3 linked regions of the Canis lupus familiaris genome follow. The protein of the gene in region 2 purifies or fractionates together with the protein of the main gene of each other region. This does not show direct contact. Links are inferred from orthologs where the notes say so. Each region holds a gene or a part of one and is shown on either strand. Other genes may lie near its edges. The genes, in order: HSP90AB1, PSKH2 and CDC37.

Region 1 (7,070 bases), on a different chromosome or scaffold from region 2:
CTTTGGCTCAGGTCGTGATCCTGGTGATCCTGGGATCTAGCCCCGCCAGGTGCTCCCTGCTCAGTCCTCCCCCTCCCCCGCTGCTCTTGCTCTCTTTCTCCTCTTTCAGTTGCTACTCAAATACAGTATCTTCAAAAAACTAACCTTTTACCCTGAATTAACCTACAATGGCACAGCTACATATAACCCTTAGATCAATGAGAAAACAATTCCATCAAGAACCTGCCATAGAAATTAAGTGAGGTCATTGGAAAGGATGTCTCTCTTTACCGAAGCGTCCCCAGTAAGTGAATGGACAGGACTCCATGGCATTCAGTTCCCGCCTACCAACCAGTTGAACAAATTCCACCAGTCTACCACGGCAACACCCTCTGCCTGCTCTTCCTATTGGGTCAGCACGCATGGCTCACCTTGACTGCCAGGTGATCTTCCCAGTCATTAGTAAGGCTCTTGTAAAACTCTCCATATTCCTCCTGGGTGATGTCATCAGGGTTTCTGGTCCAAATGGGCTTGGTCTTGTTCAGTTCTTCTTGATCAATATATTTTTCCTTAATCTTCTTGGTCTTTTTTTTCTTGTCCTTCCCACTATCATCCTCCTCATCTGAACCCACATCTTCAATCTTGGGTTTTTCCTCATCATCTTTATCTTCTTCCTCTTTCTCCCCTTTCTCCTCCTCTGCCTCATCATCACTAATTTCCTTCTCTCGTTCCTTCTCCAACTGAAGTACCAAAAAAAAAAAAGAAAAAAAAAAGTTCCAGAATACAGAACACCCAAAATTGGGGACCATGCAATCCTCCAGAACGGCAGACATCATACACGTGATGATTACCAGTACATACTCACATAAAGAGTGATGGGATAACCTATGAACTGGGAGTGCTTCTTCACCACTTCTTTGACACGTCTCTCCTCTAAATATTCGGTTTGGTCTTCTTTAAGATGGAGGATCACTTTGGTACCCCGGCCAATGGGCTCACCTAGGAAACATCAGTCAAGACAACATAAGGACACAAAACTAAAAGCAGAATTATAACAAAAAACCAACTACAGACAACATACTTAGTAAGATCTAGATTATAGACGTCCCCAGAATTCTAACCCAAACAAGAACCTCAACTTACCATGGTCTGCACGTACAGTGAAAGAGCCCCCAGCAGAAGACTCCCACGCATACTGCTCATCATCATTGTGCTTTGTGATAACAACCACTTTCTCTGCCACCAGATAAGCAGAATAAAAGCCAACACCAAACTGTCCAATCATGGAGATGTCTGCACCAGCCTACCAGAAAGTTTTAAAGTCAAACGCAAGTTAAAATAAACAAACAAAAAACACACCAAAGAACATCCACAAAAATGAATGGTGCCTGTCTAGGTGAAACAGTACATACCTGAAGGGCCTCCATGAATGCTTTAGTGCCAGACTTGGCAATGGTTCCCAAGTTATTTATGAGATCAGCTTTGGTCATACCAATGCCTGTGTCCACCAGAGTCAGGGTGCGTTCCTGGGGGTTCGGGATGATGTCAATTTTCAGCTCTTTACCACTGTCCAACTTGGAAGGGTCTGTCAGGCTTTCATAGCGAATCTTGTCCAAGGCCTAAAAATACAAATTTCAACTTTACATTTCCACTTCCTAAAGCTCACCTCTTCATCCAGAAGAAAACCTTTGAACTTCCAAGTAGCACCAGTTCTGATTTCCCCAACTTGAGATTTAAGAACCACAGCAGTTAAGAGTTACCATATTCCCTCATTCCTATAAACCAAAAAAATTTTAGAGCAGGTTTAGGCCCCCTCCAACAGCAGCCCCGTAAAATCCCAAACCCTTTTCCGTTTTCCTGAATGCTAAAAACAAAAACCATAAACAAAAGTGCCCAAAGCACTCACATCAGAAGCATTACTGATCAACTCTCGAAGAAAAATTTCCTTGTTAGAATAGAAGGTATTGATGATGAGGGACATGAGCTGGGCAATTTCTGCCTGGAAGGCAAAAGTCTCCACCTCCTCCTCTCCATGGTGCACTTCCTCAGGCATCTAAAATAAGAACAGTCAAGAATTACAAAAGAACACCGTGGCCCCATAGGTAACACTCCGTTTCACCCTACTCACAACGAAGACTCAGCTTTTAGTTGAAATTGCTTTGGGCTGGATAGTAGACATATTCCTGAAAAACTAGAAAACTTTTCCCTCAATGATTTCAGCCTATACCCTTAGTGGAAATCCAATTCAGGAAGAATTTTTAAAAGCTTCTCTAACACAACACACGACGTCAAAAGCGTTTTGGAAAAACACCTTGGAGCCTAAGTACTCTAAGTGGTCCATGGGACCCAACAGACTCCGCATCACCGAGTACCTCGTTGAAAATGCAGATCGGATCCAGGAACACGAAAAGGACTCCAGATAATTTTCAAGAGAAAAGCACTGAATACGGCTCTATTTCTTTTGGTAGGACAAACGGTAGCCCGAGGCGACCAATTTCGGGTTAAAAGGAATTCGCAATTGGCTCTCCCGCTGGGGGTCTCCCACATCAAGCACCCTGGAGCGCAGGGGCCGACTACCCCCGGGGCCGGTGGATACCCGCCCAAGCGGCTGAGACAAAGAACCGCTAAGGCAGAAGCTCCATCGCGACCCCAGCACACGTGACTACAGCGTGGGACCAAACCAAACATAACCAAGATGGTGGCCGTCGTCCGCTGGGCAGACCCTCGTCACTGCCGGACGTGCGTCGGCCAGGGCCACGCGAGGAGGGGGCGCCACCGCGCAGCCTCCCTTCGCCCCAGCATCCGGGCACCAGGGCGGGGCGCCGGGTTCCAGAAGCTTCCAGAACAATCTCAGCTCTTCGGAGAGGCGGGGGAGGAAAGGGCCCATGAATCTTCCCGAGCTTGCCCCCTCCACTCCCCTCCCCCACACCGACACTGCAGGAAAGATCTGGAAGGAGAGGAAGCACTATGGGCCAGAGACCGCCGTCAAACGTTGCTCGCCGAAGGTCACAGAAAAAAAAAAAAACGAAAACCCTTGCAAAACGCGTCCCAGGGGACAGATGGCACAGGCGGCACGGGCAGGCCAGCCCCGGGCCGTGCTGAGTCACGTCCAGCGCGCACACCCACAACGCGCGGGGACCCTCCGGCGCCCCGTAGCCGCGTCCGGAAGTGGAGGGGCAAACATGGCAGCGTCCCGGCCGGCGCGGACACCACGTGCAGCTGCCCACCACCCCCAGCCCGCGCCGCGGCCCACCTCCCCCAGCGCCAGGCGCCGCCCGCGGGGACGCCCGCCACCAGGCACGGGTGAGAAAGCAAGTCTAGCTCGCGGTCCCCCTCCCGGCCACCCCCGAAAGCAGTTAGGAGTCGTCCCATCCCACAGGCCGCTCCCACTCCACGAAACCCAGGCTTTAGAAAGGAAACGAGGAACGAGAGCAACTCAAGAGAGCACTCCAGGCAGGAAAACCTGGAAATAGCTACGACTTTACCTTAAAGGGGAAGAGCTGCAAGCACTACAGACCACGGCGGGCAGGGGCTGCGTCCGGCTACGACGCCGAACCAAGGCTGCGCGGGGGTGACTCAAGAGAGCGGCTGTGCGCCCCCGGCCGCTCTATATACGGCGGAGCACAGACCAGCTGCCGGCCCCCGGATCCCTCCGCCTTAAAGGAGGGTGCAGCTCAGCCCCGCACCTGCCGCTGCCCGCCCACCTTGACGTCATGGCCCAAAATGGGGCGGGCGGGGGGGGGGGGGCCGCCGGTCTCGGTCTCCGCCTTCAGAGTACGCAAGTACATCTCTGCTTTTGCAAGGCATGAGCTCCCTCCGAGAACTAAAGACTGGGAACGTCTTATTTCATATGAAATAAGTGGGGGATCTAGGGGTGCGGGTGCCACTGGCCTTCCTATAAACCATGAGGCAGGCGCCTCCCCACTCGAGTCCTGGCCTGGAGGAACACCTATAAAGGTGGAGGGCGGGGATAGAAGCGGCCAACCGCTCCGACCTCGGCTCCCGGGTTCGACTCTTGCTACAATCTGCCCTCCAGACCCCCACAACCCGAGAAGGGGAAGCAGTTTTCCTTAGGGACGGTGCGGAATCCGGGGTCTAACCTCAGGGAGGCCTTGCGCCCCGGCCCTCCCAGGGGCAGTGGGCGAAAGCCGCGGCTGTGCGGCGGGGTGTGGCTCCGGCTGGGGGAAGGGCCCTGGCCGGCACCGGCAGGGGGACTCTTTGCCCGCGTCCGGCGGAAGGAGCGGCAATGGTGGTACTGCGATTACTTCCAGCAGTTTCCAGACCCGCCTTGGCGGCCCCGCCCCCGCCCCGCCCCCTCCGTGCAGGCGCCGCCCCGCCCTCTGCGGCCTGGGCCGGGTGTCCGCAGCCGCCGCGGTCCCCGGGGAGGAGGCGGGCTGTTCCCCTATTAACCTGGGAGCCCGCGGGGGGGACCCTCATCTCCCACCTGCCGGTTCGGCGAGCCCAGCGCTCCCTCGGGAGTGGGATGGAGCATAAAGGGAAAGATTGACCCCCCCACCCCCGCCATCGATCCCACGGCCTGGGGCTGTTGGGGCGGTGGTGCTGGCGCCGCCTTCGGGGCGCAGAGACCCGGGGACGCATTCGCCATCGCGGGGGGCGGGGAGGAGGACCCTCCCCTACTTGTGCATCCGCCCAAGTGAGTGGGACCCGGAGACCTGCGTCTTCCCTGCGTGAGCACACGGAGCTGTTTCCCCATCTGGTTTCAGTTTGGGCCCTCTTCGCTCCTGCGGCCGGCAGACGGGAGGAGGAGCGGGCCCCCTTGCAGGCTGCCAGAAGTCGTTCCCCTCCAGCTGCGGCGCGGGCGCTCCCGAGCCGTTAGTCGGCCGGGAGAGCTGTGGGACGCCGTGGCTCAGCCCCTTTCGCGCGCCTTCCAGAGGGGAAGCCGTCCTTGTCTACCTAAGGCCTCCCCTAGGAATGCCGTCGGACCCACGGCCCCTCCGGAAGAGAATGGCCTCTTGCTGCTCTGTGACCTTGTAGGGGTCCATCCACTTCTCCCTGGCCCACAGGGTCGTTCCCTGGAATCCTGGGGAGGGGCTGCCTCCGGCACCACCGCCCGCCGTCCTTCCTCAGCCTTCTTCCTTCCTTTGTATTTCCTTATTCATATGTTAAATTCCGAAGAACAGACCTTCCAATTCCTTATCTTTTCCCCAAGCACCAGACCTCATCACCCAGCCACAGCCACCACTCCTATATTTCTCCTTACTCTTTTATTCAACCCCACACACACACCTGTTTTAAAGATTTTTATTTACTCATGAAGACACAGAGAGGCAGAGACAGGCAGAGGGAGAAGCAGCTCCATGCAGGGAGCCAGACGTGGGACTCGATCCAGGGTCCCCAGGATCATGCCCTGGGCCAAAGGCGGCGCTAAAACCACTGAGCCACCCGGGCTGCCCCCTATTCTCCTTAATGGTGTGTGAGAAATCTGTGACTTGGGGAAGTTAATGTGTTTGGGAAGAGCTGTGGGTGCTGTTGCCAGGAATCCTCCAGGATTCTCTGTTCCTGATCAAGATCTCAAACGAAGTGTGTCATCCCTCAACATACCCTCTCTCTTTCTGGGCAGAAGGGGCCTAGAAAATTAAAAACCTCCCTAGTTCACAAAGAGCATTCAAACTATTTCACAATACTGTGAAGAGGTAAAAGTGAGTCTCCCGTTCTCACTGGGAAAGCAAGGCTTCAGTGAGATCAGTCAGCTCAGAGCCTCTGTTGCACCAACCCTCGCTCCTTGCTCCAGGAATGGAGTAGCAATGCTGTCTCCCTTCCCAGGACCCAAGTCCAAAGCAGCAGAAATCACTCCTGTGGATCAGTATTAAGACCAGAGACTCCCGGGGTCTTCTAATGGGAAGATCTCAAATCACGCACTAGCACAGAAATTCTGTCTTTTCTGGAAGGCTCTCCCACTCGCTGACACTCACTTAAGCCCCCCACAGTGAGTTCCTGGGATGCAGAATTGCAGAAACAAGATGGAGGTTTCAGCCCCTAGAGGGCTGCAGCAGGCCAAGTGTGAACCATAGCAACAGGAGAAATATCAGACTCCCAGCTCAGCCTGAGGCAGGGGACAGGCTTAGGGCCAAGGCTGGCCAGTCCCTGGCACAGGTATATGTCCCAGAAGAGGGAGAAGCATGGAATGGCACAGCCCTGACAGAAGGACCATAGCCTGGGAGCCCCAAGAGAGGCAGAGGCATTGAAAGTGGCCCTGCAGGGAGAGTTCACAGAGGGCCATGAATGCTGTGCTAAGACATCTTGACCTGAACTTATAGTGAGGGAAGCCACTGAAGGCTATTAAAACCAGCTTAAAACCTCCTAGAAAGGGATCCCTGGGTGGCGCAGCAGTTTAGTGCCTGCCTTTGGCCCAGGGCGCGATCCTGGAGACCTGGGATCGAATCCCACGTCGGGTTCCTGGTGCATGGAGCCTGCTTCTCCCTCTGCCTGCGTCTCTGCCTCTCTCTCTCTCTCACTGTGTACCTATCATAAATAAATTTTAAAAAATTAAAAAAAAAAAAAAAAAACCTCCTAGAGCTCCAGAATCCTATTCCCTGCGGCACATGCAATGCTTACTGTTCCCAAGATACTCTGTTCCTGACCAGGTCTCAAAGACCCAGCCCAACCTTCTGTTGTTGGAGGGTAGCCAGATGAAGCAAGAACTGACAAACTGGCCTGCAGCTGGTGGGTCTGTCGCTTGTTTTTATAAGGCTCATGGGGAAGAGTGTTTTATACATTTTTTAAATTGTTGAACAAGTCAAAAGAAAGATAATATTTTAGCATGTGAAAAGTACACGAAATTTGAATTTGTGAGGACACCTGGGTGGCTCAGTTGGTTGGTCATCAGCCTTCCACTCTGGTCGCGACCCCAGGGGTCCTGGGATCTAGCCCCATGTTGGGCTCTCTGCTCAGTGGGGAACCTGTTACCCCCACCCCCCCAGTCTCTCCTCCTGCCACTCCCCCTGCTTATGTGCTTTTGTGTGCTCTCTCTCTTTGTCAAATGAGTAAGTAAAATCTTCAAAAAAAACTTTTTGAGGGCAGCCCAAGTGGCGCAGCAGTTTAGCGCCACATGCAGCCTGGGGCGTGATCCT
Region 2 (6,834 bases):
TGATTTCCCAAGGCCACGTACATAGTAGTTGAAATGGATAGGATTTAAATCCAACCCCTTCAAGTGTGTTTCACCAAAATTCCCTTGAACTTTGGGACAACCTTCTACCATTTTCGTTCCTCCCTCCAGCCCTTGTTTTTACTATTCTGAAACAACAACCAACCCAGGTGGAAAGAGTACAGAAAAGAAACCTAGTCCTGTTTATAGCCTCTCTCTCATAAGAAGTAGGAAATCATATCAAAAGACAGGGCACAAAGAGTCTTCTTCAGGTTACTTGATTGTGAGCACACATGCCCTACTGCGCCCACGATAGCAACCTTGACAGATGATCACTGATAAACACGTCTGATGGGGGTGGTGTTTGAGCCACCGTTTCCTCCCAGCTTATTCCCTACACTTACACTTTCTACCCAAGAAACCGAATTTTATCAGGGGATACACGTTAATGTGTAAAGTCATTATCTCTCAGCTAGTATTTCAAAGGCTGGTGATCTTACACTTGAACTATCTGTGTAAACGTCTACGCCAATTTAAGAATTTTATCAAGTTTAACTGCCTATCTGAGAGATGTTGAGAAAGTGCATCACTTAGAATCATGATTTTTACAGCTGGAAAGAATATTGGAGAATGACCGAATCCAACCCCTCATTTTACAAATGAGGAACTCTGAAGATCAGGTTAGCAGATTGATTAAGTTCTAGAGTGAGGATGAGAACCCAGGTCGCCTTATTTTTATCATAATTTGCTGCTCTTCCCCTTTATTAAAACTTCTCCTGGGAGAGGAGGCCAGGGAGTGGAGTGTGCTGAGGGGAGTGTGCAGGGAAAGGTAATGCTTTCAACTGCACACTCAGTACCAGAGATTCAAATGCAAATATAAATCTGTGTTGTAAATAGCCTTACTTCTTTTTTGCTGAGTTCATTCTTCCAGTAGTTTTCCCCCCTACCTCTCTGTTCCTTATATTTCTATGCTTCCTGAATAAAAATGGCATTTGGCTGCACTGGCTTACAGAAAACAGCTTTGTTCTATGCAATGCCTTTAATTTTCTGGCCAATTACTTTATCAAAACAGACAGCAATTTACTCATCTTAAATAGATTCTGTTGCCTCTTCTCTTTCCAACTTTGCTTTTTCATTCACGTGCACACTCAGGTTGATTTTGAAGATAATCACAGGCATTTCAAATGCTACTGCTTTGCAGACTGACCAAAATTTACATTTACCTCTAATGTGGATGAAAGCACTTTGCAAGTACTAATTTTTCACTCCGCCTTCAAAACTGCAGGCAAATTCATTTGTTCATGGAATTAATCATCCATTATCAGCTGCATTACCATCTCTGAGGAACTACACTCTTTTGTTTAAATAAAAGGAGCTTTATTCAATGCTGCTAAGGGGCCCTCATATACCAAATACTTGAAAAAATGCTAGTCATCTGGCATTGAAGGAAACCGTAGGCTTAAAGCCAAAATGTAGAGTACTGGAAATAAATGGTTTCAGACTGAACAACAAATGTCCCATAACAAATTCCTGTAACTGCAGCCTTGCTTGATGGCCATGGATGGTGACCATTTTTATGACTTGAGTGGCTATATCTTTGCAGCACCTGGCCCAGAGGGTACAGCAATAAATGTTGAATGAAAGAATCACTCACTAAATACATATTATTTCCAAATTATCACTTATATTTCGAAAACATTAAGGATCAAATCAAGCATTGGAGAAGGCATTTACAAGGCCATTCCATTCCTTCCCCTTCCACTCTTCTGCTCCTACCCACCGCCCGACCCTCAAAGTTAATTTTGTAGGTGGTGCAATTTTACATCATCCTCAGAATTGAAATCATGACTCTAACTTCAGCTGCTACAGACTGGGAATTTTTTGAACATGCATACAAAAATGAAACACGGAAACAATAATAATATCACAACCTATTTGATAGAAGCAATTATAATGAACTCCCAAGAAGAAAGTGCATATAGTCAGATTTAAATTCTATCATCTCTATTCTGCAAGAGTTATAAATAGAGTCACAATGGAGAAGAAAGACAACAGTATTTGAGACTCAAGTCTGCCACTGACTTGAACAAGTCACTTTATCATCTGGGGGTTAACTCTTCATCAGGTCAAAAGCCTTGAGTCAGTCGCTAGAGCCCTTACAATGTTGTGACCTTCCCCGTCTATGACCCCTGCACACTCTAAAGAACTGGGACTACCCTGCACATGGAGGTTATGAGAGTGGGTAAGACTAGACCACAGCAGCCTCATTTCTCTGGCTACAGATGACCAGAGATGCCATCTAACCAATTCAGAAGTGATAAGATCCCTCCCATGTCCATTCTGATTTAGGTACAATTGGATCAGACAACTTTGTCTCCATGCTTAGCAGCTACTGGACTAATCCACAAGGTCTCCTTGTATTAGAAGTTCCCCCGTAGGCCAAGAAGTGGCTCTGCACAGACTCTATTCACAGCACTGCGGGGAAGTGAGCATACAATTCAAGAGCTGGAAATGTCCCTGAGAAGCCAGATGAGCCACCCACCAAGCCCTGCAGGGTGGAAGAGGATTTCATGATTCTCTTCCTCTGTACGTCTGCCATGATACACTCTGGAAGTTATTTTTTCAGACCAACCAACCTATCATCCCTGCTCATTTCGTACATAGGGGTCAGCTAGGTCTTATGTGCACCTTAGCTCAGTAAAGACTTGATTTGGGACGCCTGGGTGGCTCAGCGGTTGAGCATCTGCCTTTGACTCAGGGCATGATCCTGGGGTCCCAGGATTGAGTCCCACATCAGGCTCCCTGCATGGAGCCTGCTTCTCCCTCTGCCTGTGTCTCTCTGCCTCTCTCTCTGTGTCTCTCATGAATAAATAAATAAAATCTTAAAAAAAAAAAAAAAGACTTGACTCATGAACTAAGCAGCACAATTTGAATGTATCACTTTAATTATCCTCACAACATTCATATGGGGTAGATATTATGATTATTCCCATTTTACTGAGACCAAAACTGAGGAAGGAGAGAGGCTAAGGAACACTCTGGTCATCCAGACATATGATAAAAGACACAGGAGTGGATCTCAAGTCTGGCTGACTCAAAGCCTTATTTCTATTCTATGAATTACGGTCTCCTTTTCCAGAATGTGGTCAAGATCCTTCACAAACAGGCCTGTCTGGACCCAGCCCCAGCGTATGTGTGGCAAGGCCCCCATCAGCCATGTAGGGCTTGGGGGACCCTCTCCTTCCTTCCCCAGCTCTGAAGTCCCAGATTCTCCCTCTTTCCTTGCTCCTGTCCCTCCTCTACTTTCAGTCTGGAATCCTCCCACTCCTCTGCCCTCCCTGTTCAGAGGGTCAAACAGAATCTGCCCCAACACTTGTTTAAAAACCATGAGGAAGACTCTGTCCCAAGACTATCAGGACTGGAGTCCAAGCTATGGCAGCAGGGGAGGGGACTGGCTTCAGCCCCGTTGAGACCAGAGGCCAGTTTTCAGCCCTGGGCGAGCTAGTAGAAGAGGAGTCCTAGAGGAAGGGCCTGCGGAGGGAGCCGGTCCGGCAGGTGCTGGCCCAAGGTGGGCAGAGACCCGGAGGAAGCGGCCCCCTGATTGCATTTCAAGGGGAGGGTGCTCCGGTCCTCGGGAAAGACCTTCCTGCAAGACTTTTACATCTCAAAGGGGTTAGAGAAAGAACTTAGGGCCCTCAGGGGCCTTGCATCCCAAAGCAGCCCGCCTGGGGTTTAATCAGGCCTCGGGGAGGGTTCGGGGCCTTCCCCGCCCGGGCCCCGCCGCGGGGCCCTGCACCTTACCTGGCCAGGACGCGGGGGTGGAAGTGGGCGCGGAAGCGGGCCACCTGCATCCTGCGAGCCGCCTCGGCCACCGCCTCCGGCCCGGGGCCCCCGGAGCTGCCGCGGCCCTCGCGCTCCTGCCCGCCCGGGACCCGCTCGGGCGCCCCCGGGGTCACCTTGGTGCTGGCGCCGCAGCCCATGCCCGTCGCGCTGGGAAGGGCCGGGCGGGCGGGGCTGCGCTTAACCCCGAGCCCCGGGGTGGGGTGGGGTGGGGGGCGGGGGCACCTCCATCCGCCCCACCCCACCCCCCGGGCCCGCTTGGAAGGAACCCCCACCGCGGGCCTCTGAAAACAAGCTTGCAAAAGGTCTGGCTGCCAGTAGGCCGCCTGGAGGGGTCAGCGACCCCTTACCTCCGCGGAGAGGCCGAAGCCTGGGCCTGTTTTCTCATCTGCAAAGTGGAGATGTGAGCCCCCAAAATGATGGGAGTCAATGAAGGATCTCATCATCTCTCAAGGATCTTCCTGTTTCCAGGGCCGAGCTCATATCCAGATGGCAGGAACATTGAATGCGTATATGGTTTAAACTCTAAGAGCTTGTGACATCTGAAGTATGTAATAAGAGGCTGCTCTATTGCATTTATTTTTTTTTAAGATTTTATTTATTTATTCATGAGAGACACAGAGAGAGAGAGAGAGAGAGAGAGAGAGAGGCAGAGAGAGAAGCAGGCCCCATGCAGGGAGCCCGACATAGGACTTGATCCCGGGTCTCCAGGATCACACCCCGGGCAGAAGGCGGTGCCAAACAGCTGAGCCACCCCGGCTGCCCTATTGCATTTATTAAACACACTAGTTTCTTTCTGGTACTGCACTAACTCTCCTACAGCGGGAAGGGCCTTCCCTCTGGATGAGGCATTGCAAAGAGAAAAACTGGGAGAAAACCAGATGTCTAGAACCCAGCCCAACACGTAATGCAACTACAAGAACAAAATATATAAAAAGAAGAAGAAGGAGAAAATGATATACTCTCTTTATATTATGTGGAGACTGTGTAATATTATCACATAATATCTAATATAATTATATTATGAATATAGTTATTATACTATATATAATCTTATGTTTTAGATAATTCAACTTTGCTTTCATAACTATCCCTACATGTATGGGTGTGCATATTGTATATATCTGATAAATATTTCTTTTTTGATAAATGTTAGTTTATGTATTGATTAGTTATCAACATATTGATTATATATAATTTACATTGCTAAATGTTAAGTAAAAGATGTGTGGAAACTGAGATTCAGTCAAGACCAAGCTAATCAAGATGAGGCACCCCTAGCAAGTTGTAGAGGCGGAACCGGAGGCCCAGTCCCAAACTTCCAATGTGGCACTCTTTCAATTTGCTTTATAACTTCATTTAATTTTTAGTTTGACTTAACAGTATCTCTGATGAGTCAGTTAGCCGCGAATTTGCCCAGAAGAACTCTATTTTGAAGGAAAATTTAAGACATGTCTTATGGGTAGCTGAGGGAAAAATGAGCCTATCCTGCAAAGGGAGCTAAACTACCCAATAATGAATTTTTCTTGATAAAGAACCCCCAGGATTCTCCAAGTACTGGGAAACAAAGAGAGAAGATTGGTTTTAAGCAGGTTTTAAACTGCTGCGGGGGTCTCAAGCTTTCAAACTAAGTTGCAGAATAAAAAACATAAAGCAAAATGGAAATGAAAAGAAAAAGGGAACAAATGGACAGAAGTAAAATGTCAAGGTGCTGTTTAAAGAACAGTTTTCCATGGGGCAGCCCCGGTGGCGCTGCGGTTTAGCACCGCCTGCAGCCCGGGGTGTGATCCTGGAGACCTAGGATCGAGTCCCACATCAGGCTTGTTGCGTGGAGCCTGCTCCTCCTTCTGCCTGTGTCTCTGCCTTTCTCTCTCTGTGGCTCTATGAATAAATAAATAAAAAATATTGGGGGAAAAAAAAAGAAGAAGAAGAACAGTATTCGTTACCCAGAGAGCCCTAGTGTATGGGGTGTTTGGATATGTGTGGCCCAGCAAATAGGAAGCATTTACTCTAAATGCTGAGCCTGGGCAGCAGGGAAGGCGCCGGGGCGCTATGAGGCAACACTTCTGTGGTCTGGGTGCTATGCTGGCTGCGCAAGCTCTGTGTCCTGGCCACAACTGGCTGCACAACAGGAAGAGATTTGTCAAGAGCCTCTCACTAAGCCTGAACCACATTCTTTGAAAATTGGCCAATAGGGTCACTGATCTTCAAGTCTTTAAGAAGGAAAACCGTAATAGAACCATTGATTAGTTCTCTTTTGGGAAGCACCAACTAGTAACTGGAAGTATTATTGGCAAAAATAAATCTTGTGCCCGGAGGAAAAAAAGATTAACTACTTAATGCATTCAAAACTTCTACTTTAAGGCTTGTACCAAGTTTTGAAATGCTGAAATGTTAAAATCACGGGTAAGTATGCTCTTGGAGCCTAAGTTAGCCTTGAGAAAGTTTGTTAACCTAAAGTTATATGCAGAGAAACACCCTACTACAGCCTTCTATGTGTATTCTTCTCTCTCTTTTTTTAAGATTTTTATTTATTCCCTTGAGAGAAAGTGAGAGAAAGCATGAGAGCATGAGCTTGGGGGAAGGGCAGAGGGAGAGGGAGAAGCAGACTCCCCGCTGAGCAGGGAGCCCCAGCAGGGCTCCATCCGAGGACCATGGGATCATGACCTGATCTGAAGGCAGATGCTTCACCAACTGAGCCACCCAGGTGCCCCTGTATTTCTCTTTATTGTGCATAATTGCTTCATTATTTGGGAGACTTCTCAAACACAGTTATTTTTACATGCTATTTATACATTATTTATAGTTAATTATATATTTTATCCTAGTTGAAGTAATAAAATTGTTAAAATGAACTTTAGACTCAAGGCCAGTTTTAAATGAATTTTTATTTTTACATCAAATGTTTAGCGCCTATAAGTTACTTCCTGTAACATTCATACAAGCTGAATAAATGGAAATGGTGTTTGGCTCCTGGTTCTGGGCTAAACTCTACTC
Region 3 (6,406 bases), on a different chromosome or scaffold from region 2:
ATTGTCTGTAATCTGCAGTGTCTAACATGGTAGCCACCAGCCATGCGTGGCTGCCAAGCACTTCAAATGTGGTTAGTTCAAGTGATGAACAGAACTTCACATTTTACTTAACTTGAACTCAAATTTAAATAGTGTACACCCAGAATAAAAGCTGCATGCCAATAAAACTGATAAACACAGGAGTGAGCTTATAAACCATAGTGTGAAGACTCTAGGTCTAGATATCCATTCTCATGGAAGCTTCTAGAAATCCAAGGCCAGGTCCTGTGACTAGACTTGTTTCACAGATGAGGAAACTAGTGTGGCCGACCAGTGAGCCAAACAGCAGGAATGGGGGCGAACCAAGGTCTGTAAAGACACAAAGTCCCATCTACCAGCACCCTTGCTGTTCCTAGTCACAACAGCTAGGGCCACCTGGCTGGCTCAATCAGTAGAGCATGTGACTTTTGATCTCGGGGTCATGAGTTCAAGGCCCACACTGGGTAGAGGCTTACTTTAAAATACATGCACACATACAAACAACAGCTGACATTTACCATGTGCTTAGCACCCCCTCACTCCCAGATTTTCCAAGTTAGTATCCAGAGAAAACTGGGTAACCAAGGCTGGGGAGGAGCACTCTTTCCTTGGACAAAGGTAGGATCAACCTGGTGTGCCCATTATGCTCATAAATGGCCCACGGGGGCAGTGACAGTGGCAGGGGATATGCTCAAAGTTCCAAGTTCACTGCTGGATGTAATCACACGGTAGATCCTCCATAGGCTGGCTCATGTGCTGGCCACACGGTTGACATGACCTCCCTTATTGCTCCGTGAAGCCCACAAGGGACACTTCTACCAGCGATGTGGGGAGCAGGGCTGGAGGGGGGGCAGGGGACATATCATTTGCCCCCGCCACTCAGCTGGGCTGGTGGGTGGGCCTGGGGAGTGGTTACTCACGGTAGGGTCCATCTTGCTGATGGCATCTTGGAGCATCTGCACATCCTTCACGTCAAAGCATTTCTGGAGTTCCTGCGGGTACAGATGGGCCGGGGTCAGGGCCTCATTTCCTGGGGGTCCTGCCTGCTGCCCACCCAGGGCCGGGGAGCCACACCTCAGGTAGAGACTCATAGACTTCAACAGGGTCCAGGCCACCAGGACCCAGCCGCTTCTTGCGCTCCTCCTCCTCGTACTCCTTCATGGCCTTCTCGATGCGCAGCTTGGCGCGGCCCCGTACGCGCTCCTTGAAGGCCTCGAGTTCATCGTTGAAGCCCTCCATGTACTGGCGGTCAGCTGTCTGCAGGGTTGGAGGGCCGAGATCTCTTCAGAGGCTCGGTCCGTCTCTCCCATGGGCCCGCCCCCGAAGGCTGGTTTTACTGCTGACGTGCTAATGACCACGTGCCTGCCTTGAGTCACAGACCTGTGAATGCTCACCTCACCTATGTCTTCACCCAAGCTCTGATCGCTCCCCGCAGGCTGCCCTGCCCTCAGCCTCCCAGGCCTCATCATGGGCAGCTCTGTGCTTCCAGGTGCTCAGGTGAGGGAACCCTAAGGCATCCTTGACTCTGTCCCTCACCCCACGTCGGGACTGTCCACACACCCCGTCTTTCAAACCGGGGGCTGACTACTGGCCCCTCCATGTCTCCAGCCTCCCCTGATCGAACAGGTTCTGATCCCACGGCCCCAAGTCTGAATGGACCTTTGTATATACCCCCTGTAGATGGAGGCTGGTGCCTTGAAGAGGCCCACACCCCACCCGACCCTGGCTCCTCGGGGACACTACCTTGATCTTAGTGAAGAACTGCCGGAAGCAGGCACGGGGATCCACCTTCAGGCTCTTAGCCAGCTCCAGGATGAACTGCATGACAATGGTCTGGTGGGCCACTTGCTCCATGAGTGCACATTTCTGCCAAGGGAGAAGAGGTAGGATGTCACCAAGTGGTGGCCTCAGGGCAGGGCTTTCCCCTAGTCCCGGGGTAGACTCCACTCACCTCCTCCACCTCTAGGTCAATGCACCAGATGACCAGGTAGTTGGCTGTCTCCTCGCACACCAGGTGGACATTGTCTGATAGGTACTTCTGGCTGTCATCCCAGCGGCGGAGCATGCCTACGAGAAGGTGTTGGCAAGGTGCTGAGGGGCCCCAGAGGCAGAGGACCAGCCCCTGTCCTGTGTAACCTCCTAACCTTAGCCTGCCGGCCCCCTCCAACGGCCCAACTCACCAAAGTGCTTGATCTGTTTCTCGTACTTCTCCACGAAGGTTTTGTGTTTCTGCTCCCTCACCTCCTCCGACTCCTCCTCCGCCTGCTCTGGTTTGGTATTGACCATGCTCTGTGATGGGGCGAGAGGGGGAGTGGGCTGGGGCGAGGCCGCAGAGCGCCTCCAGCACGGCCGGGTGGGCCGAGGCCGCAGCGCCCATCCCTTCCACGGCGGAGGTGGTGACGGCGCCATGAGCATCAGTGTGGCGGGAGCGTGGGTGTGGCAGGTGTGGCCTCGAACTAGGGCCTTCGGGCAGATCAGAGGGGGGTACCAGTGGGGTGCTTCATCCACCCAGCCCCACACCTGTCCCTCCACCCTCTCCATGCCAGGGCGTCCCTCCCTTGAGCTGTCCAGGCCTTACCCCCACCTACCCCACCAGCCCCTGCATGGGGGGAACCCTGCTGGCCCCCTCCCACCTTGCTGAAACCGTCCTTGCTGAGCGTGTCCACGTTCCAGGGCATGCTCTTCTCCTTCTTGCGCATCTCCTCCAGCTTCTGCTCCCAGCTCCGCTCCTCCTTGCGCAGCTGCTGAGCCTCGGCCTGCAGCCGTTCCAGCTCCACCTTGCTGCCCTCGCCCTCGGCCACCTCCAGCTCCTTCAGCTTCCGCTGGCACTCAGCCACCTTGCGCCTGCACTCGCGGCAGCCCCTGTCCAGCTCCTCCTTCTCCTTCTGGAACTGCTCCATGCGCTCCACCCGGGCCTGCGGGCAGACACAAGCCCTGCACTCCGGGGAAAGGCTGGTCCCTTGACCTCGGCCCTGCCCCACCCAGGGCTCCCACCCCCTGCACCTGGGATGGCCTCAGGGAATGTGTGCACCACCCTCTGTGCCCCCCTGGGGGGGCAGCTTCCATCCCACCAGGATACCTGCACACACCTTACTTTGTGTGTGTCCACCCCCAACCCTGCTCAGAAGGCTCTGTGGCATCCATGTCACTCAGAGCAGAAAACCAAGTCCTATCTATGACCTACAAGGCCCTGCACAATCTGCCCCCTCCCTCCAGTCACAGTAGCTGCTTTGTCTTTTCTTGAACCCACTTCTAAACTCAGGGCCTTTGCACTAGCTGTTGCCCCAGCCTGGAAAGTTCTCTCTCCAGACTCCCCCCACTGGCACCCAAACCAGCTTACTCCCTCACATCCTTGCCATCTTGGCTCAAACATCACTTTACAGATGAGGCCCTTCCCTGACCACCCTGCTGAATGAAGATGGCAACCTCCCCTTACTTGTGCCCTGTTTCACCTTCCTCCTCAGCACTCATTACCTGCTAGCATCTGGTGGCAACCTGGTGACAATTATTTACTGTTCTCAACACTGTCCCTCTCTGAGGAGTGGGGTCCCTAGAGATGGGGGATCTGCTCACTTGTGTCTCACACACAAGTGCACAGTCAAGGCTCAGGAGACACTTGTTGGATGAATAAAGTAAGGAAATACTGGATGGGGGTCTCAGGCCACTCGTCCTCCCCGGAGCCGCCCTCAGTGACACTCAGGTGCCCTCCCTTGCCCAACAACCTCCGATGCCCCCCACTGAGGCCTGTTCACTGGTCCTGTCCTTTCCTCCCTCTTTCCTACCCAGTCCTGACAGCTTTCGCTTCTAGAAGTCTCTCCAATTTGGTCCACCCAGAGAACTACTCCTGGATGGCTGCCCAAGGCCCCATCAGCTATGTCTCCGGGCCAGCACACCCACCCTGAGCCTTAGCTCGGTGCCCACCGGCCTCCTGTCCCCCCTACCCCAGCTGTTGCTCCCCAGACCTCCTCTGCTGTTGCACCCCAAGTTCAGATGGTGCCCTCGTTCCCCCTCTCGCTCCGGTCCCCACAAGACTCTCTACAACATGACATGGCCCTGTCTGTCCTCCACCCTTGCTTTGCTCCATCATCTCCCCCAGCTCTCAGCAGTGCCTGCTCAATCCAAAGCCCCTGACTGAGCCCTGAGAGGTGCCACCACCTTCCACAGCTGTTCCAAGCTAGACTGCCAGTCTTGGAAATTCGCACATCTGTCTGCAGCCCTTCTTGCCACCCCAACCTGGAGCGTCTACGCTCAGATGGGATCCCAAAGCCTTACTCCAAGCTGCCCAAGTGGCACCAAGGCCCCAGGGGGCCAGGGTCCCATTCTCCTTTCCCAATTCTAGGTTGCAGGCAGATCCCAAATGCACCAGCTCGCTCTTGACTCTTGGACTCTGCAAAGGCTGCTCCTTCTACCTGGAACTCTCTTCCTCTCACTCCATGTCCTTTGGCCCCAGGTCTCAGCTTCTACAGAGCCTTCCCCAAGGGCCCCCCATTCCCCATCACTGTGCCTCAAAGCCCCCTTTAAGATCATCAGACAGCATGATAAGACACTGGAGAACAGCCTCAGGGCCCCAGATGTGGAGTCATAAGCCGTGGCTACTGAGTATAGGCTGGGGTCCTTGGGTCAATCCCCTGACCTCTAGGGACCTCCGTTTCCTCATCTGTCAAAGGCAGACAACAGTACCGACCTCACCGAGCGGCACCAGGAGAAGCAAAGGAGATTTAAGTCAAAGTAGACAGTCCAGAGCCATGCTGGATGCTCGGCAAGCACCATTCCCGTGGTGGCGACTGCCATTACTATCCAAGGGGACAATCTCTCTCTCTCTCTTGACCATTCTGGGGCTCAAACAAGAAAGCATACTTCGAGTGTTTCCATCAATTTCCAACCCAGAGCACATGCTCAATACCTGGGAGTGGTTGTTACCGCACTGTCACATCACCCAGCTCCACCGCGTACTGGTGACGTGACCTTGGCTAAGACACTTAAACACTTCTAGCCTTGGAGTTAGTTCCTCTTTGGGAAAAACGCAGCATCAAAGGAGTTACTCCCAGGAAACTGCACGCAGTCCTACGTAATGAACACATTCCGCTGTTAGCGTCACCATCCTGGCCACTGGCCCCAGAGTGGTTCACTCACTCACTTCTGGGCCTTCTCTGAGGCTGTATCTCCAAGTTTGAGCAGAGTCAGGCACGCAGTAGGTGAGAATGGGGAAGCCTTGAGCCTTCTCTAACTTAGCCCCACAGGACTGCTGACAGTCCAGAGTCTCACTTTCCCCAGCTGTGTCAAGGCCGAAAGGGCCCTTGCCTCCTGGAAGAGTAAGAGAGAGGCCTGGGGCTCTGCCATTTTCCCCTCTGGGGCCTGGGGTGCCCTGGGGGCTTCCTGCTGCGGGGCTCTCTGGGGTTGGCATTCTAGCTGGCCTCGGGTGGCAGCAGGAGCCTACCACCCTGCTGGCTTCTGCTGGGTGGCCACTGAGCTCTTCTCGATGTCCTCTGAGTGGCCGCCAGGGAGACTGGAGCTAAATAAAGGCCTCCTGGAGCTGGTGGGGGCGGCAGCCTGCCCAGCACGGGCTTTCCACCTCTGGGAGGGGCTGTGGCAGCCTGGGTGTGACAGGGGCCACAGCAGGAAGCTGGGACCTGCAGGTGTCACCACCTTCCAGCCTTACAAAGAACCTGACGCTCACAGAATCACAGCGCCATAGTTTGATGAAAGGAGTCCCAAGAAACTAGTTTAACAGTAGCTGTATCTGGACAAGGGAGGTGGGGCTGGGACACTCCCTTGTCTCTTTCTGGCACCTCTGGAATCTTTCTTTCCCGGAGCACGGATTACCTAAACAATAACAATGACGGTAACTGCTAAAGTTTACAGAGAGCTTATCACGTGCCACGTGCTATCCTTAAGGACATCACACGTACTCAATAGAGTAACCTCTCATAACAACCCTATCGGGTGGATACCCTTAATATTCCCAACTGGGGAAACCAAGGCACAAAGAGATCAAACAACTTGCTGGAGGTCATGCAGTAAGTCAGTGATTCAGGAGCCAGGACTGGAACCCAGTTGTGCAGGCCTGTGCTCAGAAGTGCAGCAGGCTACCTTTTTCCTAATCTTGCCTCCCCCTCCTATATGCTTACTCCCTCCCAGGCCCGGAGCCAAGTTCTTGTCAGGCCTAATCTCATTTCATTCTTCGGATGGTCTCTAGGGGCAGGAAAAGTAAAGCAGTAAGTGGTAGGGCTGGGATTAGAACCCAAACTTGCCTGTCACTGAAGCTGGGGCTAGAGATGCTTCTCTCCCCTCCCCCCCGCCCCACCCCCACCTGATTCCACTACAGCCATAGGGTCCTCAGCAGGACAAGAAAAGGTTCTGTTCCAGGAGGGAGGAAGGCAGGGTCGGG

Evidence for each region.
Region 1: the proteins of PSKH2 (region 2) and HSP90AB1 purify together in Homo sapiens (affinity purification with mass spectrometry; 3 studies listed by BioGRID and IntAct, counting the BioPlex papers as one, with this or other methods). This does not show direct contact. The link is inferred for Canis lupus familiaris from reciprocal best matches to the Homo sapiens genes PSKH2 and HSP90AB1.
Region 3: the proteins of PSKH2 (region 2) and CDC37 purify together in Homo sapiens (affinity purification with mass spectrometry; 3 studies listed by BioGRID and IntAct, counting the BioPlex papers as one, with this or other methods). This does not show direct contact. The link is inferred for Canis lupus familiaris from reciprocal best matches to the Homo sapiens genes PSKH2 and CDC37.

Annotation. Positions count from the first base shown.
Region 1 is NC_049233.1:12,844,059-12,851,128, reverse strand, and holds the start of HSP90AB1 (heat shock protein HSP 90-beta), read right to left. Parts: upstream 4,682-7,070; 5' UTR 4,664-4,681; exon of another isoform or gene 4,653-4,663; intron 3,624-4,652; exon of another isoform or gene 3,460-3,623; intron 2,678-3,459; exon of another isoform or gene 2,352-2,677; intron 2,033-2,351; coding exon 1,886-2,032; intron 1,599-1,885; coding exon 1,392-1,598; intron 1,283-1,391; coding exon 1,123-1,282; intron 979-1,122; coding exon 845-978; intron 720-844; coding exon 411-719; intron 1-410. UniProt on the Homo sapiens protein: Molecular chaperone that promotes the maturation, structural maintenance and proper regulation of specific target proteins involved for instance in cell cycle control and signal transduction. Undergoes a functional cycle linked to its ATPase activity.
Region 2 is NC_049250.1:32,956,660-32,963,493, forward strand, and holds the start of PSKH2 (serine/threonine-protein kinase H2), read right to left. Parts: upstream 3,978-6,834; coding exon 3,799-3,977; intron 1-3,798.
Region 3 is NC_049241.1:51,127,576-51,133,981, reverse strand, and holds part of CDC37 (hsp90 co-chaperone Cdc37), read right to left. Parts: intron 2,934-6,406; coding exon 2,652-2,933; intron 2,308-2,651; coding exon 2,199-2,307; intron 2,086-2,198; coding exon 1,970-2,085; intron 1,885-1,969; coding exon 1,762-1,884; intron 1,276-1,761; coding exon 1,093-1,275; intron 1,011-1,092; coding exon 939-1,010; intron 1-938. UniProt on the Homo sapiens protein: Co-chaperone that binds to numerous kinases and promotes their interaction with the Hsp90 complex, resulting in stabilization and promotion of their activity. Inhibits HSP90AA1 ATPase activity.